Linked DNA regions of Oreochromis niloticus. The protein of the gene in region 2 binds, or shares a complex with, the protein of the main gene of each other region. Links are inferred from orthologs where the notes say so. Each region holds a gene or a part of one and is shown on either strand. Other genes may lie near its edges.

Region 1 (16,784 bases), on a different chromosome or scaffold from region 2:
CCAAAGATTCGCATGTGGGAGGTTTTTGACTCAGGAAGGGCTCTGTGTAGCTGTTTGAGCCCAGTCATCCATGATTTAGCTGAGCTGACAGCCCAGCTACTAACCATTGTCTGTGCTCTGACCCACCCTAACATGAACAGAAGAGGCCAGCTCATTAACGATTACACAACATGTCTCATGTATTGCAGTGCCAGACGAGCACAATGAAGAGGAAGTCCATGCCAAAAGTGCTGTAATATTTTTTTGAAAATGTGGGACAAAAGGCACTTGCTTTATGCCTAAATTATATTTTCTCTATAGGAAAGAAATAAAAGCTGAAGGCATTTGATTTGTGATGACTGTATCTTTGATTATTCAGATGACACAAATTGCTGTTGATATTTTATCCCCCTTAATAGATATAGCAATGAAATGTGTGAAATGTGCATAAGTTTTAAAATATTCCATTTGTTGTTGCAGATCCAGAGGGTCTCATGCAGGCACTGGAGGAGCTCGATTACCTTGCAGCTTTAGACGATGATGGCAACTTGTCTGAAATTGGCATCATAATGTCTGAAATCCCTCTGGAACCTCAGATGGCCAAAGCGCTGCTAGCATCCTGCGAGTTTGACTGTGTGAGTGAGATGCTGACAATCACAGCCATGTTGTCAGGTACGTACGTTTTACATTTTTCCACTCCAGAATTTAAGATTAGTTCCAAGTGAGGATCCTTTGACTGGTTTGTAGAATCACCAGGTGGACAGCGTAGTATTGGCTCATCTGCAGTTTCTGATGCTCTTTGGTGAGAGTGGTTTCTCTCAGTGAAGTCGACCTTATTTGTTGTTGTGTTTTAGCACCAAGCTGCTTTGTGGAGCCGCCTGCTGCCATGAGCCACGAAGCAGTCCAGTGTCACAGAAAGTTCCAGCACCCTGAAGGAGATCACTTCACCCTCATAAACATCTACAATGCCTACAAACAAAACCAGAGGGAACAATGTAAGACAGTCATTGAACAGAACCAACCTATTCTCTTCAAGAGATAAGATATACTCTCATCAGCCACTTCATTATTTATACATTGGTGCTTTATTTCTTTGTAGCATTGATTCAACAAGGTGCTGGAAACATTCCTCTGTCATGTTCAGGGAGCAGGTTTAAGATGATTTCAGCTTTATTTATTTGACCATTATCCTGCTGGAAGCAGCCAGGATAATGAGCCAGTACAGTGTGGCCATAAAGGGATAGACACGGTGAGCAATAATACTCAAGTAGGCCGTGGCAGTTAAATGATGCTTGATTGGTTATAAGGGGCGGAGAGTGTGCTAAGAAAATATCCCTTAGACCAGCAGCCTGGACTGTTGATGCAGGGGAGGATGAATTAATGCATTCGTGGTGTTTACAGCATCCAAATGTCAGAGCAGAAACCAAAGCTTAACAGACCAGGCAACATTCCTAGTCTTCCATTGTCCAATTTTGTTGAGCCTGTGCAAATTGTAGCAATCTGGTGTGGTCTTCTGCTGCTTCAAAGTTCAACATTTGTGCATTCAGAGATGATCTTCTGCATACCTTGGTTGAATCAAGTGCGTATATGAGTTACTGTTGCTTTTGTATCAGGTTGAAACAGTGTGCCCCTCACTTGTTATTACTTTTTTTTGGCCATTCTTTGTAAACCCTAGAAATTGTTGTGTGGAAAAATCCCAGTTTTGGCAAAATCAGCATTTTCTGAGATATTCAGGTATAACAACCATACTACATTCAAAGTCACTTTCTTCCCCATTCTGATGCTCACTTCAAACTTCAGCTAGGTCAACTTGACAATGCCTAAGTGCCTAAATGCATCGTGCTGTTGCCATGTGATTTGATAAATTAAGGTATTTGCATCAATGAGCAGGTGGTGAAACAGGTGTACCTAATGAAATGACTGGTGACTTGATCTTTGTTCTCTACTGTGGTAAATTAAAACTAGATTCAAAGCCTGTGTTATACTATGGGACAGATGTTACATTTCAGTTTCACGAAGAATTATAACCAGATGGATACGAATAAACTATTCTATTCTAAAAATTGACGCAAAAAACAGTTAAAAGAACACTTGGCTAAATGAACATTTCAACTCTTTAGATTCTGAGAGGCAAACTGCTTGAAATTTTAGTAAATCATATTACGGTACTCTTGAATTAATTACCTCCACATTGTCATTTTCCCCACTCCATCTGATCTGTTTAAAAGGCATTAGGAATTAAACTGTTTTTACTGTGATAGAAACTTCACGTAAATACTGCTGACCACAGCGCTTCTCTCACTGTGCATGATGTTTTCTCCCAGACTTGACTACTGAAAAGTGGTGCCAGGACTATTTTCTAAATCATTCTGCCTTGAGGACAGCTGATTCCATTAGATCAGAGTTGACTGACACACTGAACAGAATTGAGCTCCCAATTTCTGAACCCTCCTTTGGAACCAAGACTAACACTCACAACATCAAAAGAGCTCTGCTGGCTGGATTCTTCATGCAGGTACAGAAAAACAAAATGTCAGTATTAATGAATTTGCCTCCAGCAATTCAATTGTGTTCAAGTTTACGAGGTCTGTTCTTTTCCCAGATTGCTCGAGATGTGGACGGATCAGGCAACTACTTCATTCTTGCACACAAGCACATGGCCCAGGTGCACCCACACTCCTGCTACGGGGCTCAGTCGCACAAGCTGGGACTGCCTGAGTGGGTTGTTTTCAATGAGTACATCCTTTCAGAAAACTGCATGAGAATAGTCTCGGAAATTTCCCCGCAAGTGTAAGTCGATTCCTTTTTTTCCCCAAATCCCCATCAGAACAGTTGTGTACAGATCAGAACTGAGGTCTCATGGATTAATTCTCTTGTAGTGCAGTGGTAGAACAAACATGTTTATTACTGCAGTAAGCATGAGCCATTTGATCTCATTTTAATTTGAATATTTTTAATCTCTTTATCTACACAATATCTTGTGTTGACACAAATGTTTTATATTTAATATTGGTTTTCAAATTTCTCTTTTAGGTTCATTGAAATTGCACCACTGTACTTCTTCTACAATCTGCCCCCTAGCGAAAGCAAAGATATACTGCAAGACATGTTGGGCCCAGAGGGATCCAAAAACCACAAAGAGAAGAAACAGCAAGCTGCAACAATAAGTGGTGACGTAAACGGTGGCTGTGCAGCAGTGACACAGACGTATGACAGATGTATGATTCAGTAAACTGAAAATCACAAATTTAGACTGCAAATGCATCAATGCTTGTAAGACATTTGTATAATTAATACAGTAAAGCTTAATTTGTTACATTAAATTACTCATGTGTATTACCCAATGTTCTTACAGTGCTGAGAAGGCAAAGATGTCTGTGCTGTAAATATAGAAAAGTTTGCAGTTTAATAGTTGTGATCTAAAAACAATATGAGTGAGGGGGTTTCTGCAACACTGCTTAGGTGTGGACTTTATCCGTACATGATGCAGATGCACACTGTCATTTGATATACTTAACAAGCAAAAAAAAAAATGTTCAAGCGAAAAGTAATTTGTCTCCTATGTACTTCCCTATTATGCATAGTTGTCATAAATGCCAGTATACCTTCACATTCTTTTGTATATCCAAGGATCTGATTTTAAAGCTAAAATACGTATGAAACAACTTGCTCAGAATAACTGCTTTGCCCATTTATCTAAGAATGTTCCCTGTTTATGTTGACAATTCAGGACATTTATTAAAACATGTGACATCAAGGAAAGTCTGGGGATGAAATGTGCAGCTGAATGTTAAAAACCAAGGATTTTGAAGTGTTCCTAACACCTCTGATATGCAGTTGCATGAAGTTTCTTCCAGTATTCAAGTATGTGATTATTCCCTATGTCTTTACAATTTGTACAAACTGTCTTTAAAATTTCTAAAACTGGGTAAACCATCGCCCTACATGTTCTAAATATGAATACGTGCATTCCTAAAACAAACTGTACAAAAATTGAAGAATATATTGAATGATTTTCAGAAGCCTGAAAGCTGTCACTGTGTCCATAGGTGTCTTGGTTTATTGTGAAGGTCACACTGATAGATATTCTTTGAGTTTCTCCATGATGGCTGGCATTCTGTCTGTGGGTATCAGCATCACAGTCCTGAAAGGCTTCATGGGCACGTCCGTAAATGACCACCTCCCACTTAAACAGGAGTCTGCCTCTTCTTGGACTGTGTAGTGGAACTTCAAGATGGCTTGCTGTAAGGAAAACACGGACCAGGCTTGAAATCAGAGTATAAATATATTGAATAGCTTATCAGATGGCTGTTTAAATGAATATTTATCTGAAGTTTGACATGAGCTAACGAACTGCTGTATTTTTACCCAGATACTGTTAAGTAAGTAGCCCCGTGTATAATAAATATTTAGTTAAAACCTTGAACTTTGTGCAGATTTCTTTCCGACTTTACCTCATAAAAGAATTCCTCCTCTGCATTAACAAACATGTATTCCTCTTTGGGAGCTCCTCCTGTGGCTGGGATGCTCTTGGTCTCTTCTCTACAGGTCTTGCTGATAATCAGGCAGTAGTGGCACCTCCCACTGGGCTTATTTGTCCTCTGAGCGTCAGCGATTTCTTCCCTAAAGGACCGTAACATGAAAATCTTTTAACCACACACATGGATGTTTTTCTAGTTTCTATTAAAAAAATAAATAAAACAGAATGGAATAGTTTCCAAATCTCACCAACAATTTTTATTAATAGAACACAAAACATCAAATGTTTCATAAAATATTAGCTCATTTTGAATTTGATGACAGCAGCATGTATTAAAAAGTTGGGATAAGAGCAACAGAAAGGTGGAAAAGTAAGTGGTATTAAAAAGAAAAAGCTGGAATAATTTGTAGCCAATTAGGTTAACTGGTAAATATCAGTTCCCAGATGTTCAACACTTGTTAAGAGGGGATCCTACACTATTGTAAACATGGCCCTGTCCCAACATTTTTAAGATGTGTTGCTGCTAATATATTTCATGCAATACTAAAAGGTCTCAGTTTAAATATTTGATATCTTTCATACATTCTACTGTGAATAAAATGCTGATTTATAAGATTTGCAAAGTATTGCACTTGTTCCGTCTTATTTCAGTGTTTTCAAACACCATCCTGACCATGTTCTACCTGCTCTCACAACAATAACAAAACACTAAAGATGGAATAAGAAGGTAAAGCAGAACTTACTGGAGCTGTTTGTGCAGTGGAAGGGCAATCTGTGGAGGCACATTGATGAAGCGCTCACTTAGCAGCAGCCCCACAGGCTTGCTGTTATCATTAAAGATCTTCTCCAGCTGTTCTGTCACAATATGAGAAGCATTCTTCTCACACTGATCCACAATCAGCTCCTTCACCTCCTCCACACATTGTACACCCTATGAACAGTACAAGACGTGAGTATGAAAATTTATATTAAAAAAAACAAAACACTGACATATTCCAGCCCATTCAAGACTAATTAGTTTTAGTTTGCTAGTCATCTGACCTTTCTCTCTGTGAGGTTTAGCATGGTGATGAAGCCAAACACTTCATCTGGGTCGTCGTCATCGTCGCTGTCTTCGGGCGCCTCAGCTTGCTGGAGCATAGTGGAGAGACGAGTAAATAAACAGCTGCTCAGAAATGAATGTGAATGAGCATGAATGTCAATCTTGGGTTTTAAATGATTTTTTTTGTCCGTTCCTTTTCCTGGTGGAATGATTGCACAACATACATCTTTTAAAAAAGAAAACACTTGGGTGCACACATTTGAATTTATTCCAGCCTAATGTTGCCATCCACTTTGTACAATGTAGCAATGCTGTTAGCAGCAAAGCAGCTCCAGAGCATCATGCTACCACCACCATGTTTGAAAGTATAGTGTTCTTAGGTTCAAAGGATTCTCTGTGGACAGTGAATTATTGCTGGTGTTCCAGCAGTTTCCAGTTCACAGCTTGAACTTTGGTGGTTTCTGAGTTGTTCCTGAACATCCAAACCAACTCTCAAAACAACTCATCTGAGGGTGACAGTTTAGGTCTTTGTCCAGATCTTGGCAAAGTTGTCCCACATTCGAATAACTGCTGAGTATTGCTGTTAAAGATAAACTACCAGTTGTAGTAAATAATGATTACAAATAAGATAAATAGGCCTTGGCCTCATCAAGTCAAGACACTGTATAACCTTCAGCACCACTAATCAAAATATTTAAATAAATGTATGTATATATTTGAGCCTTTTGGTTCCTCGTGTTTGCTTTTGATCCCATTTGGATTAATAAAACGCCAAAAGAAATTCAAACATGTACTCCCAAATGCTGTTTTTTAAGTCATTAAGATGTGTGCAGTATGCATTGTTTGCATTAAGATGAAGTTCAAAGAAATCACTGAAAGCCCAAATTATCATGACATCTCTCACCTTGATGACACTTCCAACATGATTTTGTTGGATGATGATGTGTGTCATCTCTGATGTATCCACATGAGCTTTTAAGAAAAGCTGTATCCAAACATAACAGAAATGACGTCAGTGACACCTGCTTACACACAGTATTTGAAACGTGAAATAACAATACTAAACCCAAACCTGCTGCAGCAGCTTCTTTATGCCGTTGAAGTCATTGTCTGAGATGGTGTGAGCTTCAAAGTCTACAACGACCTCCTGAAAGCGTAGAAGTCGTAATTGCAAGTTTTATTGTAACCCATACTCTGATTAGTTGTGCGAAACTTTCCGATATTAGTTTCACAGGGTTAACTTATTACAGCGTATTCAAGTACAGTATCTTCGAAATAACATATTCTAGTATATTAGTTATTTATTTTCTCACATGATTAACCAAAAAAATATTTTCATGAGCCTTTCTGTTCACATTAGCCCTACTGCTGACTTAGCTAACTAGTTAGCAAGGCCATGCCTCCCTTCTAAGACGTGTTTGTTCTTTTACCTCATTAATTTCCTCATCTGACGCCTCACTGTCCTCTTCTCCGGAATCGTCTTCCTCCTCTGGATTCTCATCGGAGCTGTTGTCACTTTCCTCGGGTTTTTCACCAAAACCTACTGCCCTTTTCTTAGCCAATGAAGCCATGCTGCAAACTTAAAACACACGTGTCTACTAAGTGGGCGGGGCAAAGACTAGCAACTGTCAGCTACGAAACTGAAACCCTGAAGCCGCCATTATGGCTCCACATATACACGGCTTGCCGCTTATTAAATCCACATTCAGAGCTTCAATGTCGGCTTGTTGCCCGTTGGTGAAATGGAATAAACCATTCTATAAAACGGGGACGAAAATAAATTCACATGCCCCCGAACCCTTTGTCACATGTAGTAGATATTAATTTAAATTATTGAAACTATATTTTTAAATTAAATAAACACATTCTTGTAATACTACTTGTAATACGATTATTTTACAAGGTTAGTCAATTAGACAGTGTTCTGTCTCCCCTCCTCGACCGTGGATGATGAAAGTCTGAATGAACACTCCAGGTACATAAATTTTGCCTAATATTTCGTCTTTTTCACCGTTTGTACTTCGTGTCACTGTAGCTATACGCGGATAAAATATTCGCTTCTATCACACATTATCACAGACAGGTTCTGTTAATTGCTACCGTAGATAGTCTGTCATGCACCGTGTCTTGCTAGGGTAAACAAGAACACTCTTACGGAAGAAGACACTTCACATACACTTTTAACTAAAATGGCCCATTCGCTTAATTTATTCGCTGTTCATGCACAGTCTTATGATCGTGACTCAACAACAGTCTTATCAGCATGTGACCGTTTTAGGGTGTAACGTTGCTTAAAATGCATTCACACCCAATGTCCTCAGTGTTTTTGTAGCTTAAGCCTCTGACTTTGACATTATTGCAGACCTTAGTAAACCTATTTTACCTTGGTTTGTTCGGAATTAACCATCTTTGTTATTTTAATAATCCAGTGTTTCAAGATGCGTGTATTGCTGCTTAAAGAACCAAAAGATGGAGAGTCTGGATCTGATCCCTATATTAAGGTACACGCCCTTTACAGTTAAATCAACTAACTTAAACCAGTTTCTTAAAATTTGTCAGTATAACCGTTATTATTTTCACTTCGAAGGAGCTGGAATCACGCGGACATAAAGGAACCCTACTTCCGGTGCTGTCTTTTAAGTTTGTATCATTAAACACTTTGTCAGATAAGGTAAATTGTTGTTCCATTGTCCATTCATTAATCCGTTCATTTTAACAGTTTGCATATTCAGTGGATTCATGTATTTTGCTTATTCCAGCTTTTCCAACCAGAGAAATATGGTGGGCTCATATTTACCAGTCCAAGAGCAGTGGAGGCTGTAAGGATGTGTTTGGAAGCGGATGAAAGAAGGGAAGGTGATAAACATTACTTTTCTCGAAGCTGCTGTATATCATTGATAGAAATGACTTTTTTTGGTAAAAACCTTAAAAAAACAAGTCAAGTTTCTGTAGTACATTTCTGTAATGCCCAGTGTATGTTGTGCTATTGAGAATGGGACAAAGCAGCGAAAGACAAGTGGAACACCAAGTCCATCTATGTGGTTGGGAAGGCCACTGCTTCATTAGGTGAGTCACATCTATGGACAAAGGTAATTTCTCCCAAAATCCTCCTTTGTGTCTTGAGCTCCTTGTAAACTCGTGCTAATTGCACCAGAGTGTGTCGGGCACCTGGTGCTCATAGTGATGTGTGAAATGCTTTGTCTACCTTCAGCCATTTGTTATACACAAGTGACAGTTTGCCGTTAGTGATTGTTCAGTGTCTTTACAAAACAAGCAGGTGCAACACTTTCTACATGTGTGCTTTAGCTTCTTCTTTTCAGTAACATTTCACAGTGGGTTTTTATTTTGAGTCTCTCAGTGAGCTTCTAATTTAGTTATTGAATTAGTTGAAGTGAATGAATGTGTTTTCTCTGCCACGCTCTTATGTCAGTATTTAGCAGACTGTGCAAAAGTATTGAGCCACCCTCATTTCTTTGTATTTTACTTCCAAGGACCCAGACGTCCTTGTAATTTTTCAAAGTGCTCTTGAGTTACTCCTCCAGGCTTTCAGAAGGTCTTTCAAATTTGTCTTCTGACATTTGCTGGTTTTTCCACTTATTTTCAATCCAGGCTTTGTACTGTGCCATTTTCAGAGGAATGCGGTTTGGTTGTTAAGCCACTTAACACTGGCCTATGAATGCATCAAGTATAAAAAAAAAAAATGCACCCAAGTCAAGGAATGAACAATTGTTGTGTCTACACATAGCAGACAACTTAGAAAAGACTAGAACGTAATGTCTTTTGTTTAGTGTTTTCTGCTTTTAAAAACCTTGCTGCACCTATTTCCCATTTTCTAGCAAAATATAAAGAAATGTGGGGTGGCTCAAGAATTTACCACATTACTGTATAGCTTATCATTTTTTTTTCCTTTTCATGATTTTTATCCCATACAGTACAGAATCTAGGTCTGAACCCTTTGGGAGAGGACACCGGGACAGCGGAGGTCCTATCACGACTTATTATTGAACGTACGGCGTAACTGTGGAGTCTCACATTCCTCACAGTTTAATTTTAATAGTAATTTTATGATTGCTCTTATTACTCATATGATCTCACGTATAATTCCCGTCATAGGAGAGGCCACCAATATCCCACCACTTTTTTTCCCCTGTGGCTCAATCAAAAGGGAAGTCTTGCCCACGGCTTTAAGGGAAAATGGTAAGCATTCCCCCTGTTGTGCCTGACAATTAAAACTCAAGGTGATAAAATTCCCATTGGGATTATTCTAATTATAAAATAATAATTGCACTATCTTTATCACTGTTGGGATCTGTTTCTTTGTTTCCAGGAGTGCCCCTAGAGACACTAACTGTCTATCAAACAGCAGAACATCCCGATCTGGAGAAAAATCTAAAGAACTATTTCACAGAGCAGGTAAAGTGTCATTCTTATTGCTTTTATTTATTTATTTGTTTCAGTATAGCAGCTGTTCATTTGTTTGTATGCTTATAGGGCATCCCAGCAAGCATAGCTTTCTTCAGTCCATCAGGAGTGAAGTTTTGCCTTGAAGTGGTGCGGAGGCTCTCGGCTGAACAGCTGACTCAAATAAAGGTACATCTTCCTCACAGTCATACACAAATAGATTTAAATAATGCATGAATCTGAAGTGCTTAACAGAGCTTTACTCACGTAAGTGTCTTTGTTTCCAGTTTGCAGCCATAGGGCCTACTACACAACATGCAATAGCAGCAGAAGGCCTTTGTGTCAGCTGCACTGCAGAAAAGCCAACAGCTGAACACCTGGCGATAGCGATAGCTAAAACTCTGCAGTGACCAGCTTTTAAAATCCACCTGCCTCATCTTTGGTGTTTGTTGTTATTATATATGTAAATACGTACTGTTATTTGTGTGTTTTACTGCTTTACTGCCCATCTTTATTGTTGTTGGACATATGATTCTGCTATTTTTGCACTGAGAAAAAGTTATTTTTTGCAGCACCAGAGCCAGGAAAGTCTAAGATAAAATTATAATTTGCTTTATATGATGTAAGAAAATGACTGAGAAAATAAAAGCCAATCATTTTGATAATATTGAAGATTTTGTCTGTGGTTATTGCTTGTGTGTTTCTGTGTGTTTATTTCCTGTCCAACACAGTGCTTGCAGGGGTCATCCCTGTCTTTTACTGTCCACATGAATGTGAAGGTTTTAACATCTTTCCACGGATCAGCTGCAGTCCATTTAAAACCACTGAAGCATGTATAACATAACCACAGAGTAAGAGTCAAATTGAGCAGTCGTAGATTGTAAAAGATGAGTTTACTTTTCACGCAGAGGTGAAGAAAGCAGGTTACTGTAGAGTCACACCTCTGGAGGGGTGTGGAGAAGCTAAGGATTTGCTTATAAAGCAGCGTTGCTCCTCACTTGTCATCATCTCATCTTGCATATAGACCCAGGAGTAAACCGCTAAAGGCCACGATGCTGAATTTAATCCAGCTGATATTTATGCTCTTTTTGACCAACATTAGCACAACTGATGCAGAGAAACTTTTCCATAATCGGGATCATTCTGATACGCAGACCCTTAATTCTCACCGAGCTCAGGCTATAACAGACAAGTACACAGCTGAGGTATATTGTTTTTTCTTCTTTTTTGACTACCTGTGTTTCTCAAACTTCAGCATCCATTTAACCAGACAGGGGATTTGTCTAATGTAACCCGTGTCTTGTTTTAGTTATTTCTCTCTAGATATGGATTCATCAAGCCAGTTAACTGGGAGGAGGTTCAGTTTGAGGATTCAGATGCCTCTTTCAGCGGTGACTTCCTCGACGATCTTCAAGCCACAATCCAAGAGGGAACCTCAGCGTCTTACTCGAGAGCTGCTCATCGAGCTGGTGATCAGCAGGGCTATAACCGTCAAAATGAGAACCAAGCCTTTATTTCAGCACTTAAAGAGTTTCAGAGGGTTTCAGGTCTGCCTGTTACAGGGGTGTTTGATGAGGCCACCAAGTTAGCAATGAACAAACCAAGGTGTGGAGTCCCTGATAAAGAGACTGTTCTGACCAGCCCTGTCATCACTACAGAACCTGAGAGCAGTGGTGACTTTGATTTTGAAAACAGTACCACTGACAGTTTTACTGAGACCAACAGGAACAACACAGCAAGTGACATAATCAGTGGCACTTCTTTAGGTACTGCAAATTTCTCTGAAGACGACATATTAAATTTTAATGATGCAGACGGTGTGCTCACAGCCATTTCCAATGACACCAGCATGAATTATACAACAGAGCTTTTTAAAGATCACTTCTCCAAACAGCTCGCACGACAGCAGACTGGGCAGCCAAATGGGGAATTTCAGTGAGAACGCGCATCAGAGTGAAGCAGTGAGACGCAAGAAGGAACATCTCGCAAGTCTCATATCCAAAAGCAGGCGGAAGAGAGATTTGACTCCAACTGGCCACATGGCTTTTTTTCAAGAAGGTGTTAAACTGGAGGCTGATAGGAGAAGGCTACAGCAGCCAGCTGACTATTGAAGACCAGAGGTACATCTTCAGACTGGCTTTCAGGATGTGGAGTGAGGTGTCGCCACTGGAATTTGTGGAGGATACACATGCCCCATTGGAGGATGTTGACATCAGGCTGGGATTTGGTACAGGTGGGTTTTAGTCAATATTTATGAGCTTCACTGCAGCATGAAAGCTACTTTTGGCTGCTCCTTTATTCACAGTGGCCACAGCAGGTAGCTCCGCATGTTTGGTTTGGCAGAGCTTTATGCCAGATGCCCTTCCTGACACAACCCCAAAAGGATTTGTGTCTTCTCCTGAGATCACACTGGGGATCTTTCCCTTGTTAGGTGGATGTGTGAACCACTATTATTATGAATAAAATGTGGAATGGTTAGATTTGACCCTTCACATCACTAGTCTATGAAGGTTAATTTCTCATTTCAGGATAAAAAAGTTAAAGAATGTTATCTCCTTGGCCACATATATGTTTAAGACTAATAAAGCATCTGTTAATGAGGTTCATTAAACACAAAAACTCCCAGCAATGTTAAAGGTAAATGTAAACCACGACCAGTCTTCTTAGATTGGAAATATTTTCCTCGGGAGGGTCATTTATATGTATGTCTGCAGAGGATCATTAATGTTTCCACTGTACCTCCTTTTTGTGCCAAATAACATACTGCATCGTTGTGAAATTCTTTCATAGGAAGGCATCTGGGATGTAATCAGAAGTTCGATGGCACTGGTCAAGAATTTGCCCATGCTTGGTTCCTGGGTGATATACACTTTGATGATGATGAGCACTTCACAACTCCCAATGTTGGCAGTGGAATCAGCCTTCTCAAAGTAATTATATTCCTGCACGATCAAAGGAACTGCCAGGTTTATATAATTCCAGTGATTAACAACGCATTGCTCTAACAACGCCTTAAATATATTAAACCTGTTTAGGTAGCAGTTCATGAGATTGGCCATGTTTTGGGTCTACCCCACATATATAGACCCGGATCCATAATGCAGCCCAGCTATCTACCCCAGGAGTCCACCTTTGAAATGGACTGGATGGACAGAAAAGCTATACAGCAACTCTATGGTACATGGTTACAGCACCATCTAGTGGTTACTTATACACTCTTGGAGAAATGCATTTTGCTGTATTTTTGCCCTAATTGACTAATGCAAATTTTTTTCCCCTGTTGTGCTTGCATTTGACACCAGGAGGCTGTAAAGGCCGGTTCAACACGGTGTTTGATTGGATCAGAAAGGAGAAGACACCCTATGGGGAGGTGGTGATCCGCTTTAACACCTATTTCATGAGAGATGGGTGGTACTGGCTGTATGAGAACAGAAATAATAGAACACGTTATGGTGATCCAGTTCCGCTGCAAACTGGCTGGCATGGGATCCCCATGGATGGAGTGGATGCACATGTCCATGTCTGGTCCAGGAAAAGAGATGCTGTATATTTCTTCAGAGGTACACTAAGTGGAGAGTTATACTGTTTGAAAGGAGTTAGTGAACAAATTGATACTTTGTGAAAATGTAATTAACTTATTTATCTACAGGTACTCAGTTCTGGAGGTATGATAGTGAGAACGACCAGGTGTTTGGACAAGACTCTGAAGGTCACCAGTATCCGAAGTTAATCTCTGAAGGATTCCCAGGGGTGCCAAGTCCTATTGACACAGCCTTTTATGACAGGAGGGACTCCCACATCTACTTCTTTAAAAACAATCTTGTAAGTGCAATATTACCCAGCTGTCAGATATTATTACACTGATATAAGAGCAAAGACATGAGGTTCAGTAAGAAAGTAAATTAGGAAATATTCATGAAGTGCTTAAATGACAAGCTGGAATGATGTGGTTCGATATTAAAACACACCGACCATTATACATATTTAAACTTAAAACGTGGCTTAGACTTAACGGTCATTAATCAAACTGTTTCCATCTGTGATTTGCAATCTAGCAATGCCGATTAGTAGAACATGCAGATATAAAAAGCAAAGTCCTGGAGAAAACCCAAGCTAATTAATTGTTTCTTAGGATTATGAGGGAATGTCTTCAAGCAAACAAATGCACTAAAGTTCCTCTGTGAATTGTTTGCATTGTATAATTGAATTGATTTCTGCATAACAAAAAAAAAGAGCAATTATCTCTTTGAACAGGTGTATGCATTCAGCGTGGAAGCCAACAACTTGGCAAGAGGGTTCCCAAAAAACATCAGAGATGTTTTCCCTCCTGTGGTGAACACAGACCATCCAGATGGCAACATTGACGCTGCCTACTTCTCCTACACTCACAATGCCATCTTTCTTCTCAAGGGCATACGCTTCTGGCAAGTAGTGGGCAGTCGTGATCGCTGGCGACGGCCCTTTCTGCCACGAAATGGCCTGCTGCCACATAAGGAGGTGGATCAGCATTGGTTTGATATCTGCAATGTTCATCCCACTGCACTCAAACTAACCCGCTGAGAGTGTTGCAGCAGAGATGCGATAGAGCTTGCTAAAGTTTGCATATGTGATCTACTGATTTAATTTTATGTTCACATATTGTCAAGCTGCAATGATGACTGTCTAATTTCTAGAAGACAACAACAATTTTGAATTTTGTTGGCTAATTTTCACCGAGGTGTGTTATTTATACATGTAACAGCTGCTCTTTCATTCCTTTTCTCTTTTTCGGAGCAGTGCTGAATGCATTCTGGCACAAAAACAATCCTAAAGGACTTCCTATTATTAAGATATTCAGAGAATGAGTGATAATTTGTTTATTGGATACTTATTCATTAAACGGACATGTTGTTTCGCTCACAGATACAGTATGTATAATGTAGATGAAGCTAATAAATGTTTTGCTGAGCTGCTCAAAATGATATTTGATGTGCTGAAGTGCACTGTGTAGAAAAATGCTTTCAAATGGCAAATGTGCAAAGAAACATTAAAACAGGCTTGTGCGTACTGTGAAGTGACTTCTTATGTCACATGTAATCTTAAGAAAACCTCTAAAAAGATTTGTGGTATTATGAGTGTATAAAAATAGAATTTTGCTCATAGTGGAAGAGCTGGTTTCTGGGTAAACTTATAGATTGAAAGCATCTTTCTTTTGACGTAATTGTATTGAAAAAAAAGACATAAATTTTGTATCCTCGGATTGTTTCTTTTTGGCACAGTATGTGCCTGGAAGGGATACAACATTATTCTCTCAACTTAGATTGATGATCGAGGTGTAGATATACAGTACTAGTCCCTATTGGCACGACTGGATGATTTGATAATTCTATATTTGTACGAAACTCTCAATTCCTGTAAATCATACTTGTAGAAATCCACATCTGCCTGTAGGCATGAAAGAAAGAACGAAAGAAGTGACCTGGAAGCCGGGAAACTTTCTCTTTATTAAAAACCCTTAAAAGTTAAGAGCAACTCTTCCACTACAATAGGGTTTTGGGCTGAGGGAATCAGATAACCCCTATCAATAACAACCTGGAGGTGGTGGAAAACAACTATCGAGACATCATATTTTCGAATGCCCTCTCATTATGAAAGACTTACACACTATCAATCAAAAGAGAGCCTTTTGAAATGCGCGCTGAAGTAAAACGATTGAACGAGGTGCCATAATGCTGTTATATTTTATAATGATGATTTGAGCATGATGCAAAGAAACAGGCATTGATTCTGTAATCAATATGTTACTTGAAGACGCTTATTAATTCAGCTCATCTTAAGAGATTAGGCTCCTGGTGGGCCCCAGATAACTAGCATTGTGCTGCAGGCGCTCTATAGGCTATATTAATAAATTAAAGTAGAAATCAATTACAAGCAAAGGAACAAAATGTCGCGGTAAGTGGAGCTACATAGAGGGTTATCATGGGTTGATGAGTCTACTCACACAGCTATAGAAGGAGCTTCTCTGTCTGCTCATACCTCTGCTTGTTTTTTGAGCTAATATTTTGTTTTTTTCTTGTAAGATTAAAGAGATTTCTGTGATTTAACAGGATTAGGCAACATTTTAGTGATTATTATAAACACGAGCTTCATATTAAAAATGCAAACTTAAAGAAAATTAGAAAATATTATTTATTAAAATACTATATTGTAATATTAACAGTCAAGAGAAATAACTTACATATAGCCAAGGTATTTTTGTTTGAATAAAATCAGCTTTTATTCTGCAGATCTTAGCATAAAATATTGACACAGGAATATTGAATTCAGTACATAAGATGATGCAGTGCAGTGCAGCCATTTGATCTGTTTGTTTATCCCATTATGAGGCACCGTACACCTCCTCCATCCTGGAATTTCACATGCAGCAAAATCCTAAATACAAACTGTTATTCATGCATTCATATGGTCCCCAGCAGCTCACTGATCTGTGCTTTTGCACTGATGGTACTGCCGTTGAAACTCCCTTCCCTACACCTCGGGCCTCTTTGAATGCGACTATGATAAATGAGATCAGTCATGCTGATGAAGCTGCAGCAGCCCCAGAGAAATACAAAAACCTGTGTCGTTGCAATTCACATGGGAGGCACTTTAGAAACTGGAGAATGGGATGAAACTCCTGCAGCACATTCATATACCGAAAATCCCCAAACTCTTCCAAGACATGAAAATAACTTTGAATACTGTTGCCTTATTTATATGTCTCCAAGGGATTTTTCTTTCTTAAAACATGGAAATAAATGATTTCTGGTGTTATTTCAAATGAGGATCATACAATTATGTGTTTTTGCATTTGTCAAGGGATTAGTTCAACAAGCTGCTGCATGTAGGTAGTGCGTTGCATTT
Region 2 (16,665 bases):
TTTTGATGTAAATAGACAGAATATCAACCAAATATCCAGAAAAAACACCAAAGTGAGGAATTGACTTGTATTTCATGGAGTGAAGTACGTGTTTGATTCCCAAGCCAAACATAACTTAGTACTTGGTGGGAAAATCCTTGTTGGCAATCACAGCAGGAGGATATATTTGTAGTTGGTCACCAGCCTTGTGGACATTATAGTCCACTGCTCTTTACACAAACTCTCTAAATCCTTTAGGTTTCTTGACTGACGCTTGGCAGCTCGAAGCTTCGGCTCCCTCCACAGAATTTCTATAGGACTGAAGTCTGGAGACTAACTAAACCACTCCATGACCTTCTCCATGTGCTTCTTCTTTAGGCACTCCTATGTTGCCTCGATGATATGTTGTGGGTCATTGTCATACTGGAAGACCCATCTATGAGCCATCGTCAGTGTTCTGGCTGAGGGAAGGAAGTTCTCGTCCAAGGTTTTATGGTACATGACCCTGTCCATCGGCCACTCGAACAAGCCAAAGCATAATGTTTCCACCTCCATGCTTGACAGGCGTGGTGTTCTTTGGGTCATATTCCGCATTTCCTTTTTTGGAAAGGTCAAGTTGATGCAAGAGAGCTGTTGATGCAAGTTGATGCAAGTTGATGCAAAAGAGCTCGACTGTGGTTGCATCTGACTGCAGCACTTTCTCCCGAGGCTTCTCTGAATCATTTAGATGTTCAGTGGCGAACAGGCCTGTACATGTGCCTTCTTAAGCAGGGGGACCTTGTGGGCGCTCCAAGATTTCAGCCAATTACAGTGTAATGTAATACCAGTGGTGTTCTTGGTGACTGTGCTCCCACTTGTGGTCTGATCCACCAAGTACCTCATGATCATCCTCACCTGGTGAGGCAAGATCTTGCATGGAGCTCCAGACCGACATTTAGTTGATGTTCTGTCTCTACTATTCCCACCTGTTGTATACTAGGTGCAGTGAAGCTCAGGATTCAACCACAAGGAACTGGGAGCTAACAAAACAAAGTCTGCTATTAAGTTCTAGAAGAACCATATCTGACATCCTTTGTTTTCAGTTCACTTTACCAAGTAAAGGAGTTAGAAATGTGTTACTTTACATTCATTATTTGAGTAAATGTTATTAAATTAACTCATAATATATAGTTCTTTTTACAGTACTCCTCTGAGAAGGACAGCACTGCTTTTCCCCAACTGTAATTGATCGCTGTTGTTCTGAGAAATTACCTGGGTCCCAACACACAGCTCATTCGGCCCCCTTTTAGACCACTGAATGTGCCATGTGGCCCATTTGTAGCTTAGAGATTAAAGTAACTCAATCTTCTAGATCTAACCTCGCACAATAATAGCAGTACTACCTGTGCCCTCCTAAAACGAATGTAAACGATATGTTGGTGGACGTGTAAACCAGACGTGCCGAGAACATGAAACACAATGTACTCGGAACATTAACGCGTTTGTTTAATTGAAGCAGATGTTTCTGCCTGGTCTTTAAAACCCCGGTGACCCCGTGTTAAATTTCAGCTGCACTAATCAATATTGGACATTAACAATGTATCAAGTGACTGCTTGTCATGAAAGCTCTTTAAATGTCCCTTTTTTTCAGCATTGCTGGGCAATAACATTCAACATTTTACATAACCTGTTATGAAACAACTTATTGCTATCATGTTTGTTTTTCTATAAGTCCATAGAGTCTCACTTGTATGTTTAGAGCCTGTCGAATTGCTTAAATCTTTTATAGTAGCATAAAATTTATCACTGCAGTGAAACCAGTTTGTGTGCACTTTGAATCTTCAAGCTGTTAAAGCGAACAACACTGATCAGATCACATGACCACTGGATTCCAGGCAAGGTGAGAGATGACGCGTAAGAGTTATTACAGGAAATCCAGCCTTGGTGCTGTCTTTCACTGCGACCTGGTAATAACACAGAGCGCAGTCTATTTCCTGCATAGCTGTGTCTTTGTGTTACAGAGTATTTGAGGAGTGGTTCTTCAGAGACACATAATGAGTAGCTCAACACGCTGTCATTTCTGTGTTGGTACTTTCCTGTCAGCAGCGGCTAACCACCTAGCTCATCTTCAGTCTTAGTGCCTAGTTATCTTTGTGTCGTCTGTATCCAGACTCCCACTGTCTGTCATTATAGATCCTCAAATTAAACAAAAACATTTCTGGAGTAAACCTCCGGGTGGTTTTCATCTTAAGTAGGTTGTCTGATGAGGATTTGTGTTGTCTGCTTCCACCCCAGTATGGCTAAGGTTAATGGACTTTTAAAGGACTCGGCAACATCTCTTCTAGGTCAGGATAATAACGAGCCTCATCGTGAACTACTTTGTTGTGAGAAAGCCTCAGTGAAACCTGTCGGCACCATCTTCTGTGGACTATAATTGTGATTTTTATCTTTTGAATGAAAGGACTCTCTGCTCTTAAGATGTTCATTTCCACGCTTTAAGCATTACCGTTTTGTGGAAGAGATTCAGGCATTTATAAAGCCCAGTCTACCTGCATGACCCCATACAACCACCTGCCAGTCAGCCCTGTACTGTGTAGTATAGTTGGCTGCTGAAAGTTTGCACAAGCCTTCATTAAAAACCAATTTTTGTATTAAATAAAAAGTAATTTTGTAGATGACAGCGACTGTGACTTTCCATTTACCAGATTCTTGTGCATCCTTCAAATCTAACCGGATGCATATCATGCATATGTGCATGGTCATTATACTCCGCTACAGTGGAAAATAATAATAATCCAACCTTTTGGGTCTTTGGCCTTTACAGTAAATTTACAGTAATAATTTCTACACAAGGTCTGACATTTTTTGATATTTTTAAAACAGTTTTTATTTCCTAAAATGGAAGTGTATGTGCCATCAGTACTGCTCTGATTGTTACACTGCTGAACATGTGGATTTTATTACTCGCAGAATAAGTTTCTATACAGTTTACAAACTGCTCACAAACTGTTACAGTTTTGGGAAGAGTCGCTACAGTATCCTTTTGACAGCTGTGGAAGAGCTGTGCAGTGCGTGCGTGTGTGTGTGTGTGTGTGTGTGTGTGTGTGTGTGTGAGAGAGAGAGAGAGACTGGCCTTCACAGAGACCTGAGATCATTTACAAGCTTCTCCTGTGTAGTTCTTACTTGATCAGTCTCACCCCATAAGACAAGATCTTCCATGGTCATTTTATATTTCTCCCATTTCTGAATGATCGCACCTTCTCACCAAGCTTCTCGCTGATGATCTTGTATCTCATTCCAGTCTTGTGCAGGTCTACAGTATTGTCCCTGATATCCTTTGGCAGCCCTTGAGTCTTCCACATGGTGGTGTTGACGCTGGAATGTAAGAACCTGGTTTGGGACAAGCGTGCTTTATACGATATTTATGAGATAAAGAGTATCTGTAACTGATTAACTGTTAGATTACAATCAATCAATCAATCAATCAATCAATTAGTGTGTCACATGGGCACACAGCCAATCTGTGGGAGCCATAATTCTGGCTGGTTTGTAGGGGACTTTACTCAATGACATATCAATCAATTTATAACTTTTATGTAATGTGTTTTTGTTGTTGTTTTTTTTAATCTTTGGTTGATATTCTGTCTCCATAAATATGAAATTACCACAAGACCTAGAGACTGTTCATTTACAGTATATGTAAATGTATATGTGGCAGTTTAATCCTGTCCAATTTCTCTGAAAGTGAGTGTGTTGATGAGACCATGACCTTATCTTGTGACAGAACTGGAAAAAATGCCTACAGCCAGCTCATGCAGGCTTGAGGAAAGCTGAGACCAGTCACGTTCAAGCTTTCATAGCAAAAATCTAATCTTCACAATTTTAGAGGTGTATTTCTTTAGGTGTGACACCAGCAGAGGCTACTTTTTATTTAGGTAAACTTTTCTGTGCTCTCCAGAATTTAAATCATTATTTACAAAAATGCTTATCTATAAAAGCTAGTTTCTACAATCTAAGAAGCATAGACTGTACACAAAAGATGGCACAACAAGTATGGTGCAGTAAGGACTCTGAAGGGTTCTTCACACTTGTGTGAATGTAAGAGAGAATCAATCACATGGTAACATTAGCTAAGCACTGTGCTAGTAATTAATATATTCATACCATCTATTTATAGTTATAAAAAACTGCAGTTAAAATAAAGATTATCTGATGTTCAGAGTCTTCAGCTTAAGGAAGAGTGTGGTTGGTTGCACCCAGTCACACAACATTTGGTTTTCTTTCCTCATAGCTGAGAAAACACATTAAGTAGCTGCAAGCCAGGTATTATATCAGTGTACTGACCAGACAAGTAGGCAAACAGGTCTACAAAGACATGCAAATAGTACATTACAGACATTCTAGCAGCGTTTGTGTGTGAAAGAACAACTCTGTCGGGTGCGTTTCTGTGCCTTTTGTAACTCTGTAGAGCCTTCACATGGATAAACAACTTGTATAATAGACCAAAGGAAAGGAAAAATGATAGGGGCCCTTTATAGTCACTTGGTGTGTGTTTTCTTTTTAGTACAGTCCTCTGAGAGAACGCCAGAAAGTCCGTTTTTATTGAAGTGCACAAGTTCACTTACATCCATTAACATTCTTCCCTCAATAGATGAACAAACGTTTTGTTACAATACCATGAGTGATCACCTGAAACAAACACTGGCAGTAGCTGCGCGATGAGCAGCTCTGTATGCGTTCAAGCTATCGGCTCACTCATGTCAGCTAAGCTTTAAAGGTCAAAGTTCTGAACACACCCAGACTACTCACCAGCCGCCTGAGGCCTTGTGGTTTCATCAGGGACAGACAATTCTGCATGACGTCAGGACCAAAACTGTAGGCAGACACACAGTGTAGCAGATCTTTGACTGACACATAGATAACTGACATATACTATATATGCAAATCATTTGATAAGGAGTCCTTTATTGTTTTATTTGTTTTTACTATTTTCAAAGATGAGAAAGAAACTGAAAATATAGTCTTATAACTATTTCTAAACCATACCAAAACAGTGTAAAGGTGCTTCAGTTACCAATAAGGCATATGATCAAATGTTATCTTACTGATTAACTGAAAAAATTTCCAGGATCCGATTAATTTGAGTCTAATAATTTGTTGATGAGCAGAATGGAGTAAAAAAAACCACACAAATGGTAGCACTTTATATGACTTCCCCCGGTGTACTTCCCCCTGAAATTAAATGGAATTTCAGTGTATTTTATTTGAATTTATAACTTAATTATATTTATTTACACATACTTAGAGGTAGGTACCCTAGAGTAAGGGGAATACATCAGGTTTTACAGGAAAAAAGAAATAGTTATACTGTCAGTAAGTTTAAATGCTTAGTAATAAATCGTGATTTGTTAGGCAAGAAAATAATCCACTCCAAAATTGGACCTGTGCCCCAAAAAGTACAGCATATTTACACAAGATATGGAAATATTGTTTGTTTTTCTGGAAAATTATCAGGAAATTACACATTAATTAAAATTACCTATGTCGTATTTAACATTGCATAGAGTCTAATTTTTGTCTCCTTTCCAGCACAATACACAGAAATCAGGCACTATTTGCGATTACTTTCCCACTACTTAAAACTACTTACAATGTAATTATTTCTTCTTTCCTGTAACATACAACTTCTTGTGCCCTACTTAATATTACTTTTACAGTACTTGAAATTGCTTATGTAATAAATTGTATCTTCCAGTTAAATACCCAAAGTCGTTAAATATTTAGAATTACTCACTTTCACACTACTTAAAATTACATACAGGTTTTTTTTTCATGTAAAAACCCAAATTGTTACCTCCCTATTGTACTGTAACTACCTGTAAGTATGTGTAGGTAAATACATTGTAACTTTAAATAAAATAGAGTGAAATTCAATTTAACCCTTTCATGCATGAATTATGACAACCTCAATCAGGAATTTTTTCTTAATTATTCACTTCATTTTCTTTAAACATGCATTATTCAAAGAGTTATTTACAAGTCCACTTAGGTGGACAACATACATTTTGACTTATGAATTTGGTATGGAGTGACACATCAGTGTCCATTGTAGTGGTTTATGTGCAAGTATACCATCAACACTGACACAAATACAAGAAAACAGGCTTTGAATAGCTGTCCACAGAAGTGACCACTATGCGTGAAAGGTTTAATTACAGGAGAAATACACCCTTAGTTGCAAGCGGTATTATAAAGTGTTACCAACACAGTATTGAGTTATTTATTCTTTCATTTATTATTGTATTAAACATATTCTTATTACTCTTTTTTTCAAGTAGTGTGACTGTTTGTTTGTCTCTATACACCAGGTTCAACAGTGCTTCCAAATGTTTTGTATGCTTGTGCTTACATAACAATAAGGGTCGTCTTATCTTATCTTATCTTATCTTAACTTATATTATCACATCTTATCTTATCTTATCCTGTCTTATCCTATCTTATCTTATCTTATCTTATCTTATCTTATAAAGTTAAATTCAAACCCAAGTGATTCTGAGACATTATCTTGTGTTCTTGAAAATTCATAGGGTTGTTTTTTAAACATTTTCTTTTTTACAAACACTGATAACCAACATTATAGCTGCAGCCTGTCAGTTTTACTGCCCAATTGCCCCAAAACAAGTTCCTTTTTCATCTATGTGATCTTTGTGATCATCACATAAAATGGGAAAGTAACCCCCCCATCCTTATCAGCTTACAGTCTTCCCTTTGTTCGCTTAAATGAAACATCATTTAAAAAAAACTGTATTAAAGTGAAATCTGAAAATGACATCAAAGTTTCTGTCATCACAAGTTAGAATTAAGAAAAAAGTCTTAAATGAGAAGCTAAGGCAGGCAGGAGGAGGGAATCCCCTTGCTGATCGGCTAGTTTCCTATCAGTGTTCCTGATGCTGACTCACTGACGCTGGTGTACAGCCTGGCTCCCTTAGGGGCTCCACGCTACCCACAATCCACAACCACGCAGCTGACACAGCTTAAGCTTCACACTGCTGATCGGTGGTTTCATCTCACCTCCCGGTCTTATCATCGTGGACGACACAGAGGAAAGGAAATGGTTCTTACTCGTGAAACCGAATCTTAAGTCACCTATTCCCTGACTCATTCACTGATGTGTTTGTGTGTAAGGGTGAGCAATGTGGAAGGGGATTCATTTTTGACACGAGGAAAATAAATCTCACATCAGTTTAGAACTTTTTTTATATAATGATGTTGAATGGGGATGTAATTAGTTTTGTATACTGCACTTTTCACTTTGTTCAGTTTGCAATTTTCTCCCTTTTTTGTCATGGATTTTGCTGCGATTCCTTAATAAATTGCTTTATTTTTTGTCTTTAAGTCTGTTCATTTTTATGTGTTCTCATTCAGGATACAGTTGTCTTTTCAGTCCTCTCACAGCGTCAGGGGGATTCTGCAGTTTATTTCTAAAGAATCATTAACAATAATTCATCTTTGAGAGTGAGCGAAAAGCTTTCTTGTGAATACTTAGCATGAAATTCTTGTGAGGTTTCTTCCACAGAAATCTATGAGGTAGGTTCAGCAGCTGGCGAAAATATCTACCAGACACTACATAGTCCGAAGAACTGTGTCGTGCCAGTGTGTTTCAGTGGATAGTACTTTGTCTATATAAAACAGGCTTGTCTTCAGGGGGTTAGTGGTTTGATTGCTGTCTTTTAAATGGTGGCTGTGTGTGTCTCCCAGGCAGTGGGTTATGTGGAGGCGTGTGCGTGACAGCCAACTTCGTATCTCATATTTCGAACTTTGAATGCTTACAGAACAGCTTTTTGGAAGTGTATGTAACTGTGTGGGAGGGGATTCATTTTTGAAATCCCACATCAGTTTAGAAGTTTTATTTATAATGATGTTGAATGGGGATGTCATTAGTTTTGTATACTGTACTTTTCACTTTGTTCGGTTTGCAATTTTTTCACTTTTTTTTGTTATTGATTTTGCTGCAAATCCTTAATAAATTCAGACTCAATCAGAATCAGAACACTTTAATAGTCCCTAAGGAAATTATGTAATTGTTTCATTTTGTTCTTTAAGTCTGTTCATTATTATGTGTTCTCATTCAGAATACACTGGTCTTTTCAATCCTGTCACAGCATCAGGGGGATTCTGCAGGTTCTTTCTAAAGAATCATTAACAATAATTCATCTTTGAGAGAGAGAGAAAACCTTTCTTGGGGATACTTAGCATGCAGATGTGGTGATTATCAATGTAGGTGTGATCTAAAGAGGATTTTTAAGTTTGTGTTCGGGTGAAATTCTAGTGAGGTTTCTTCCATAGAAATCTATGAGGTAGGTTCAGCAGCTGGGGAAAGTATCGGCCAGCATTGCTTCCTGTATAACTTCCTGTATTGCTGTTAACAGTTAGTAGAAGGCCAAGTATTTTGGCCACTTATCTATTAAACAACACACTTTTCTTCAAGACATACAGAAGATTAACTGTACTCAGCCACTGCAACTGACCACTGGTTACTGTTTGACAGATTTAGACATATATTTGTTCTGGTGTAAGATGATCAGACTAAGCCCATGAAATTTGTGAATTGATTGGTCACTAGTAATTGCAGAAGAGGATTTGAACTAGACTGATGGAAAAATCATTGATCAGTATGCTTTTTTTGTTTTATTTTGTTTTTTTGTTTTTTAAATCTTTCTGAATATGTTGTTAGTCAGAGGCAGCTTTTAGTTCATGAGGATCACCAATCTAAATCCAAGGCAGGACCCTTCTGTGACCCTCCCTGTGCTTGTGCGGGTTTATAGGAGCTCCAGTTTACTCCACTATCATGAACCATGGCAAGCTAATGCTAACTGATTCAGCTCAGGACAGTCTTGCAGAAGAGATTCCTAATATTAAGAGTCTGGTTTCCTGGTGAAAGATTATTAAGAAAAAAAAATCAAATACCCTCTAATTCAGAACAAGATTAAGAGTTTTCGTTTAAGCATTTTTACAGAGATTTAAGGACTTTGAGACTGCTTTTGTTTGACCTCTGAGTTGTATTCTATTACTCAGATACAGGGGTATTTCCAGGATTATTAATTTATGAATTTATTGATTTAAGTGGAGAAGAAGAATAAGGCTGGGGGTGTCCACAGGAACTTGGAATATCTAATGAGGAATAAATAGATTGTGAAAAACACTAGGCACAATTTTCTGGTTTCAGTGGAGCCCTATGTCATCATAGAGGTGGTGTTACATGAAAAGTGACACTAAGAAGTCCTTAAAGATAGTTTTGTTTAAATGACTATTTAGTGAAATTGGTGAAATTAGTATTTAGGCCTTTTATTTAAGTAATAGAACAAGTGTTTTAAGCTCAAACGATACTTACAGCTGAAGGAGATTTTAATTAGTTACAAACTGATAGGTAGTTTTATAATATTAACAATAAAAAATAATAAGTCACTGGAGGTTTAAAGATTATGGACTACAAAGTGCAATAATTGCACATAAAATAGAGTGGAGTGGAAGTACAAAGGTGTAAAAATAAAGTATAAGTACATTTACCCTGTACTTCAGCGACTACATATCCATATTCTAGCTCATTCAATGGCTTTGAGAATAGCTGCATTCTTAGTACTTTTATCAAATGTCAGTGGTGATAATTACTTTTTTTTTTTTAAACAAACGGTTAAGTACTAGCAATGCAATATTATACGCAGGACAAATATTTTGGGTCAGATTTACTGTGAAAACACACATACACATAAATGGTAATAATTAACAGCAGCTATCTCTGATACATAGATGGTAGTTTTAGCTTCCCTGTTTTAAATAAATATGTATCCATATATATGAATCTTTTTTTCTGAAGTAACACAAATTATGAGTGGAATTTATTATGACAGTCGAAATATCAGCAAATATCAGCAAAGTGAAATGAAATGAAATTATGAAATCTTTGCCTACCAACAGTTAAATGCTACTCTTAAACTAGACGCTCCTGGTTACTTGGCAACGCATAAACCTCATTGGCCAATCAGATACTTAGCTAGGCGCATTGGTACAATCTGACGCGGCCATTCTAAGATTATGTGATCTGCAGACGATGAAAACTAAGTTTTTTGGTAAATATTTAAAGTTAGTATTTTATTTTAACTATCCTCGCTGTATTGCTCACATTGTACTTTCTAAGTGTAAATGGCAAACTACATAGTCCGAGGAACTGTGTCGTGCCACGGCGGTGCATGTGTTTCGGAAAGGTAGTACTTCGGCTATATAACAGGCGTGTCTTCAGTGGCTTTGGTGGTTCAAACGCTGTCTTTTAAACGGCGACTGTGTCTCTCTCTCGGGCAGTGGATTATGTGGAGGCGTGTGCGTGACAGCCAACTTTACATCTCACATTTCGGGCTTTGAATGCTTACAGAACAGCCTTTTGGAAGTGTATGTATCTTTTAACACCCTCTTCAGTTTCTTACGCAAATCTGTGTTTTATTTTCGTAGTTGGGGAAAATAGTGCGTTTGATAAGTATGAATTGCTAAATTTAAAGTTTGCCGTGCTGTAGCCACGGTTCAAAAACGTGTCGCCGGTTGCGCTATTTTAACGTGAGACGTAGATACCTAAAAGTGTGTTGCTTGAGGATATTCCAACTTTGCATAACCGCTGAATTTACAAAGGGTTTTATGACCATATGGCTCGACACTAAGTTAACCGTAATACTATCTTGCTAGTGTAGTGATAAAGCATTCTTATCGTCAGTTTCAGAGCAGAGTTTGGTACGCGTTTTAAATGCTGTTAGCACTGAGCCTTATTTGCTGTACATAGAGTAAAAGTTGGTTTTGACCTCCGCACGGCTAAATTGACAAGTCAGCTGGAATAAATAACTGTTGTTTAAAATTTTGCCCAACGTGTGTCGCGGCGACTTTTGTCGCTCCACGTAGTGGTGAATAACTAGTAGTAGTACCGGTTGTTTATTCGGGAGACCCCCGGCTTTACTGGACTTGAAGCTAGCTCGGTGTTTGTCTCTCAGCGGTTCTGGAATAAAAGGCAGGCTTGCGCAGTGAGCTGTTCTAGAAACCTCACGGGCTCTGTCCTTTTACTGTGTGTCGCGTGCAGGTTGTCTCATGCTCGCGCTCTCCTGTGCTCGTGCTGAACGCTCCTGTTGCTGCTCCTGTTTCACGGCAAGAAAATGGTTCTTAATTACATTTAACTGCGTCCCCCCCCCCCCTTTTTAGACACACATTACTACAGCTAGACCAAATTTGGTAAAATTAAGAAACAGTAATTTTGTTTCTTTTAAAGAATATTGGCTAATATTGTCACATGGTAGACTTTATTTGGTATGTGTCACACTTGAGGGCTGTCACTAACATTTTTGTTTTTTCTGTCCTGCCTCCTTAGTCAATCTAAACTTTTTGAGAAGATGGATAACAAGGAGGTATCAAACAGTTGTCCCTTCAGCGACTTGACTTGGGAGCAGGTGAGCCGGCTCAATGAAGTTCTGACTGAGGTCGTGCCCATTCATGGACGGGGGCACTTTCCTACTTTGGAGGTGCAGCTGAATGATATTGTGGCTCGGGTGCGCTCCCGCCTTGAGCTCAGCGGCATTAAGGTGAAGGACGTACGGCTTAATGGCTCCACAGCCAGCCATGTGCTGGTGCAAGATATTGGCTGGAGCTACAAGGACCTGGACGTTATCTTCAGGGTGGACTTGCCACACGAGGCTGAGTTCAAGCTCATCAAGGATGTTGTGCTTGGTACCCTGCTGGACTTCCTGCCTGAGGGTGTGAACAAAGAGAAAATTACACCAATGACCCTCAAAGAGGCCTACGTGCAGAAGCTTGTCAAGGTGAACACAGAGCAGGACCGCTGGAGCCTCATCTCCCTCTCCAACAATAATGGCCGTAATGTGGAGCTGAAGTTTGTGGACTCAATACGTCGGCAGTTTGAGTTCAGTGTCGACTCTTTTCAGATTGTGCTGGACTCCATGCTCTCCTTCTATGAGGTGGAGCAGGCGCCCATGTCAGAGGCCTTTCACCCCACTGTTAGTGGGGAAAGCATGTATGGAGACTTCAACACTGCGCTGAGCCACCTGCGAAACAAGCTCATTGCCACCAAGCGGCCTGAGGAGATCCGAGGCGGTGGCCTGCTGAAGTACTGCAACCTGTTGGTGAGGGACTTCCAGCCCGCCAGCGAGGAGGAATTCAAGGGCCTGGAGCGATATATGTGCTCACGCTTCTTCATTGACTTTCCTGACATAGGAGAGCAGCAGCGTAAGGTGGAATCCTACCTCCAGAGCCACTTTGTTGGCGAGGAGAAGAGCAAGTACGACTACCTCACGATTCTCCGGCGAGTGGTTAACGAGAGCACGGTGTGCCTCATGGGTCACGAGCGGCGGCAGACCCTCCACCTCATCTCGCTGATGGCCCTCCAAGTCCTGGCGGAGCAGAACGCGATCCCCGACGCGTCCTGCGTCACCTGCTATTACCAGCCAGCGCCTTACGTCCGAGACCACAACTTCAGCAACTACTATGTGGCCAACCAGAACATTCCAACATGGCTGCCGTGTAACTGACGAGACAAACAACTTGGGATGAGCAAGATGGCGTCGCTACTGCTGCTGCATTTGAGAAGAGAAGGAATGAATTTAAAAAAAAAAAAAAAAAAAAAAAAAACATTAAAAAAAAATGTTGGGCAATAAATAATTTGTTCCTCTCAAGGCACAATTATATTTAAGTGGACAAGCGTTTTGCTTTTGTTTTCTCATTCCTTTACGACAGAGGTGTCTAGGTCATTGAATCGAAAGTGATATTTTTAAGTGTTTCGAATTTTTTTTTTTTTTTTTTTTTTTTTCTCTCCTCATGTTTGGTTGTTTCACTGTTTATCAATCCCATTCTTAATGGAGTTGCATTTTGTGCCTTAACCTCCAAGTTTACCCCATCAGTAATTTAAGTATGGGCTGTGATTTGGAGAAGGGAAAGAGGAGCTAATGCCGTAGCCTTACATTTGGTTTTCATCTTGATTTAAAAAAAAGAAAAAGGTTAGGAAAAAAAAGTTGGAAAAAATGCATAAAATATTGAAAAATAGTATTATTGTATTATTGGGGAAAGAGTAATAATAGCTGACTGCCAAAAAAGGGGAAAAAAAAAAAAAAAGCTCATCACCGGTGTTAAAGTTTACTGTGGAGGGAGAAAAGGTGGTACACTAATATCCTGTCAGAAATCAGTGGGAAGCGAGGAGTCGATTTGTTTTAATTCATTTTGACATGTAAATATTTCTGAGACATTTGTGCCAGCGGTGCCTGTGATTTGTAAATGATGCAAACGAGGAAAAAAAAAATGTATATTTTTTTTTTTTTATCTTTCCACTGTGAATTTCAACATAGGATTGGATTGGCTCCCCTCCCTCCCCCCCTTTACCTTGTTTCCTCAGCCTTGTACCTTTCAGTCGAGACTGGCTTCGAGTGGAACTCTCAGACAGTGTAGGCCTCAAATACGTGACCTCACTGCTTTCCCTGTTGTTTTTTTTTTTTTTTTTTTAAGTCTGAAAGCCTTGCCATTGACCTCCACATGCCATGGCCCCTGGGTTATTGTGGGAGGCAAATGGACAGGACTGAGCCTGGTAGGGGGTTTAGAGAATGTGCTTGGCTGGGAGTCCCAGAGTGACAGGCTAGTTGTCTCTTCCCTTAAAAGGAGCAGCACATGGAGGGGCCCGAAGGGTTGTCCCTCACAGCTACTGCATGCTCGACAGCAGCCCTGAAATGGGAGCCACCTCTGACGCAGCTCGGTGCCTCTCCAATTACTCTTCGTCTATAATTATCATCTTTCTCTTTTTTTGTGCTGGGGTTAGCTACCATTGAAGCAGGGAGCTGGAGCTTGGTTGTGTGATCTGCAGCAGCCCTGCCACCTTACATATGTGGCAGCTGAATCACTTCCTGTCCTCCTCATCTGTCGCCTGATGGGACACGGAGCGTTTTGAACCCCTTTTGTGGTCATGGGGAGGGCAGACCACATGCCTGCTAGTGGGATACCATTCCCCCTTTCAGACCTGGAATTCCATCAATGTGGAAGCTACGCCCAAAACTGCAGCAGAGATGAAGTCGCCGCTCCAAACCAATGAATTTCTATTTGTAGCCAAGCCTAATATTAGCTGTTAATTTTTGAACACCTGAACACACTAATGACCTAAGCTGGGAGTATTTCTGGCCACCACTGCTCCTGTTGGTTTTCCTGACATCACAGCAGCCAAGTTTGAGAGCGTTTCCTCATGAACTTGTTCTCCCAAATGGCCTTAGTTTCTCAGAAGTTCGTCTCCCTGTATTGCTGCTGCTGATCTCACTGTGGCTTGTGTTGGTGCGAGATAACCGCAGACCTCTTATCTGGTTGGCTCACAATGTCAGGGTTGATGGAACAATTGAGGGAGATCAGTTTGGTCTGGCTGCAGGTCACATTTGAGGGGCAGGTTGTGCTGTGTCAGCTTAGCTGCAGCGTGTTTTTGTATTTCCCTTTTTTTTTTTTTTTTTTTTTTTTTAATTTCTTTTAAGAACATGCTCTTGGACCAAAAGTCTGCTTTACAACCAGCAACTGAAGCACTCAAGTGCCTGTCACTCTGTGGAGAGTTGATCTTTTTAAAAGGTTTTTTTTAATGGTGGTCATAAAGGGGGAAAGGTTAGCAAAAGTTTTCTTTCAGCCTGTGAAGCTTTGATATAAAACTGTCTGTATTAGATACAAGTTTATAAGGTGAATGCACATATTTTTGGTTGAGGAGCAAACTACTTTTGGTTTGACTTTAAAATTTGAGGGGTTTTTTCCTATTAAGATTATTTTTCTTTAACATTAGTTTGTCCCAAACTTTATTTTTCCTTAAAATCTGCAGTCATTCCCATGGCAGCCATCTGAGTCCTCTTCATTTTACACTTTTTTTTTTTTTTTTCCCCCCTGTATATTTACACCTTTCAACTTAATCTGCCCAGCATTTGCCCAGCACTGTATTCTCTGAAACAGCTGGGCTAATTCAGTTTGACTGTTCTGTTCCCCATCCGAAGCAAGAAATACTGCACTGACGAGCTGTACGGTGGCACGGTAGCTGGAGGTCAGAGTAAAGACCCCCTCCCACACTGGTGGAACACTTTAAAGAGGCCTTGGTCAGTTGCTGTGAGAGCCGTGCTGGTCCTCAGGGACTGCATGTTTTTGAAGACCGTTTTGTCCCCTTTTTTTTTTTTTTTTTTTTTTTTTAAATTTAAGAGAGAGCAAATTGGTTTAATCTGCCCTTGATTCTGAGATGCCCCCTCCTACCTCTCTTCATTTTTCGTCTTTCCTTTGTTGTAATCCTGACTCTCCCTCTGCTCACCCTTACTACAGGCTCTTCCTAGAAGAGGTGGAGGTAGGCTGCAGACTTCAGCTCGTTACACCCCGACAGCAGCCCAGCTTTTTATCTTTACACCCATTCGCTCCAAAATGTTATTGTTACTCAGAGGCTCTCCTAGGTTTGTGCCAAAAGCTGTATTTTAGTGGTGTTCTCCTAACCCTGAGAGGTCTTCTTTGAGAGCTCGGGGACAGAACATCGACTCTGAGGCTAAAATCCCTTTTCCTAGTGGATTATAGTCTTTGAAGTAATGATGAGGCTTGGAGCCACGTGCAGAACCAGCTGCTGCTCACAGTTGGAGTTTGAAGCCTGCTGTGTGGTGAAAACCAGCCTCTTCTTAGGCCTTTTGTTGATGTCGCTCACTAACAGCCGTTAAGAGCGAGGTCAAAGAGAGTGCGAGCAAATTTGCATTTTCCTAGAAAGTTGATAGCAGTCTGGAATGCTAGTCCAGTGCCCTTTTTTTTTTTTTTTTTTTTTTTTTTTCTTTCTCTCCCTCCCCAATCCTCCTTTGCCCCACCCTGCTTTCACATGTTTACGGTTATTGTGGCTCTCTGATGACTATGCCCGAGCTTTTGCGGGGCTTGTGTCTAACCCTTTCCTTTACTGGGCTGATGTATGTCTGAACTCTGTGAACGGAAAGGGAATATTGTAGTTTGCCTTTATTTTCTGGCCACTTTTTTCTGCTGTAAACTTGCCAGTGTTTCTCTCTCGCACCACCTTGAGTTGGCTCACATGTTTGGGCTGCTGTTAATTGATACAGCAAATGTCTTTTTCCCCCCTTATGACACCTGTAGCTGTATCCTTTGCTAGAGGGGAGATGCAGATGAGATATTTAGTGGTTATGCTTGTATAAAGTGCAAGTCTTATGCCATAGGAATGTGATAGAAGCTGTCCTACAGTTTTTGTATGACGATTTATTTTGTTTGCAGCAGAAACAGATGTGTGTTTACGTTAACATGTGGAGGAGCGTGTGTTCGTTTGCGCGTGTGTGAAGGGATGCCTGTGGTAACACAAGTTGAATGGGGGAAAAAAAAAGTGGGGAAAATATGAACTATGTCGCACTATATATATATTTTTGGAAATAGTTGATGCAGAAGAGCTTTTTTGTCAGCTTCGTGATTGTGACTCTGATGGTTACAACCATTAAACTATTTCATTTTTCAGCACTTTTACCTCACTTGAGTTTTTTTCCTTGGAATGGAAATGTACATGTACATCAGGAAAATGTGTTTGAAGAAGAAATAATGAATAAAGAGTATTCGATGCAATATGTCCCTCATTTGTTTGTTGCTTGAAAGCTTGCATGTAAAACTGACAATGTTTTTGCATGACAGTCAAGTTAT

Evidence for each region.
Region 1: the proteins of tent5c (region 2) and bccip are in contact, whole or in part, in a cryo-EM structure (PDB 8EQB), measured with the Homo sapiens proteins. The link is inferred for Oreochromis niloticus from reciprocal best matches to the Homo sapiens genes TENT5C and BCCIP. Residues at the interface, in NP_060179.2 of Homo sapiens: Asp90, Asp92, Glu102, Gln106, Arg109, Lys135, Glu136, Val139, Gln140, Lys141, Leu142, Val143, Lys144, Val145, Cys146, Thr147, Asn164; in NP_510868.1 of Homo sapiens: Val57, Asn58, Ile59, Glu60, Phe61, Glu62, Ala63, Tyr64, Ser65, Arg136, Gln146, Cys153, Lys155, Ala204, Gly205.

What each region holds. Positions count from the first base shown.
Region 1 is NC_031973.2:11,320,930-11,337,713, forward strand, and holds bccip (protein BCCIP homolog), read right to left. Parts: upstream 7,204-16,784; 5' UTR 7,073-7,203; coding exon 6,932-7,072; intron 6,649-6,931; coding exon 6,574-6,648; intron 6,487-6,573; coding exon 6,406-6,486; intron 5,591-6,405; coding exon 5,501-5,590; intron 5,391-5,500; coding exon 5,203-5,390; intron 4,603-5,202; coding exon 4,434-4,602; intron 4,222-4,433; coding exon 4,051-4,221; 3' UTR 3,384-4,050; downstream 1-3,383. Other genes in the region: dhx32a (DEAD/H (Asp-Glu-Ala-Asp/His) box polypeptide 32a), read left to right, coding at 460-651, 834-974, 2,304-2,494, 2,582-2,769, 3,013-3,211; uros (uroporphyrinogen-III synthase), read left to right, coding at 7,940-8,002, 8,089-8,172, 8,261-8,357, 8,493-8,567, 9,434-9,508, 9,615-9,698, 9,829-9,914, 9,993-10,091 and 1 more. UniProt on the Homo sapiens protein: During interphase, required for microtubule organizing and anchoring activities. During mitosis, required for the organization and stabilization of the spindle pole.
Region 2 is NC_031987.2:28,025,581-28,042,245, reverse strand, and holds tent5c (terminal nucleotidyltransferase 5C), read left to right. Parts: upstream 1-10,098; 5' UTR 10,099-10,158; coding exon 10,159-10,220; intron 10,221-10,314; coding exon 10,315-10,401; intron 10,402-11,359; coding exon 11,360-12,533; 3' UTR 12,534-16,590; downstream 16,591-16,665. UniProt on the Homo sapiens protein: Catalyzes the transfer of one adenosine molecule from an ATP to an mRNA poly(A) tail bearing a 3'-OH terminal group and enhances mRNA stability and gene expression.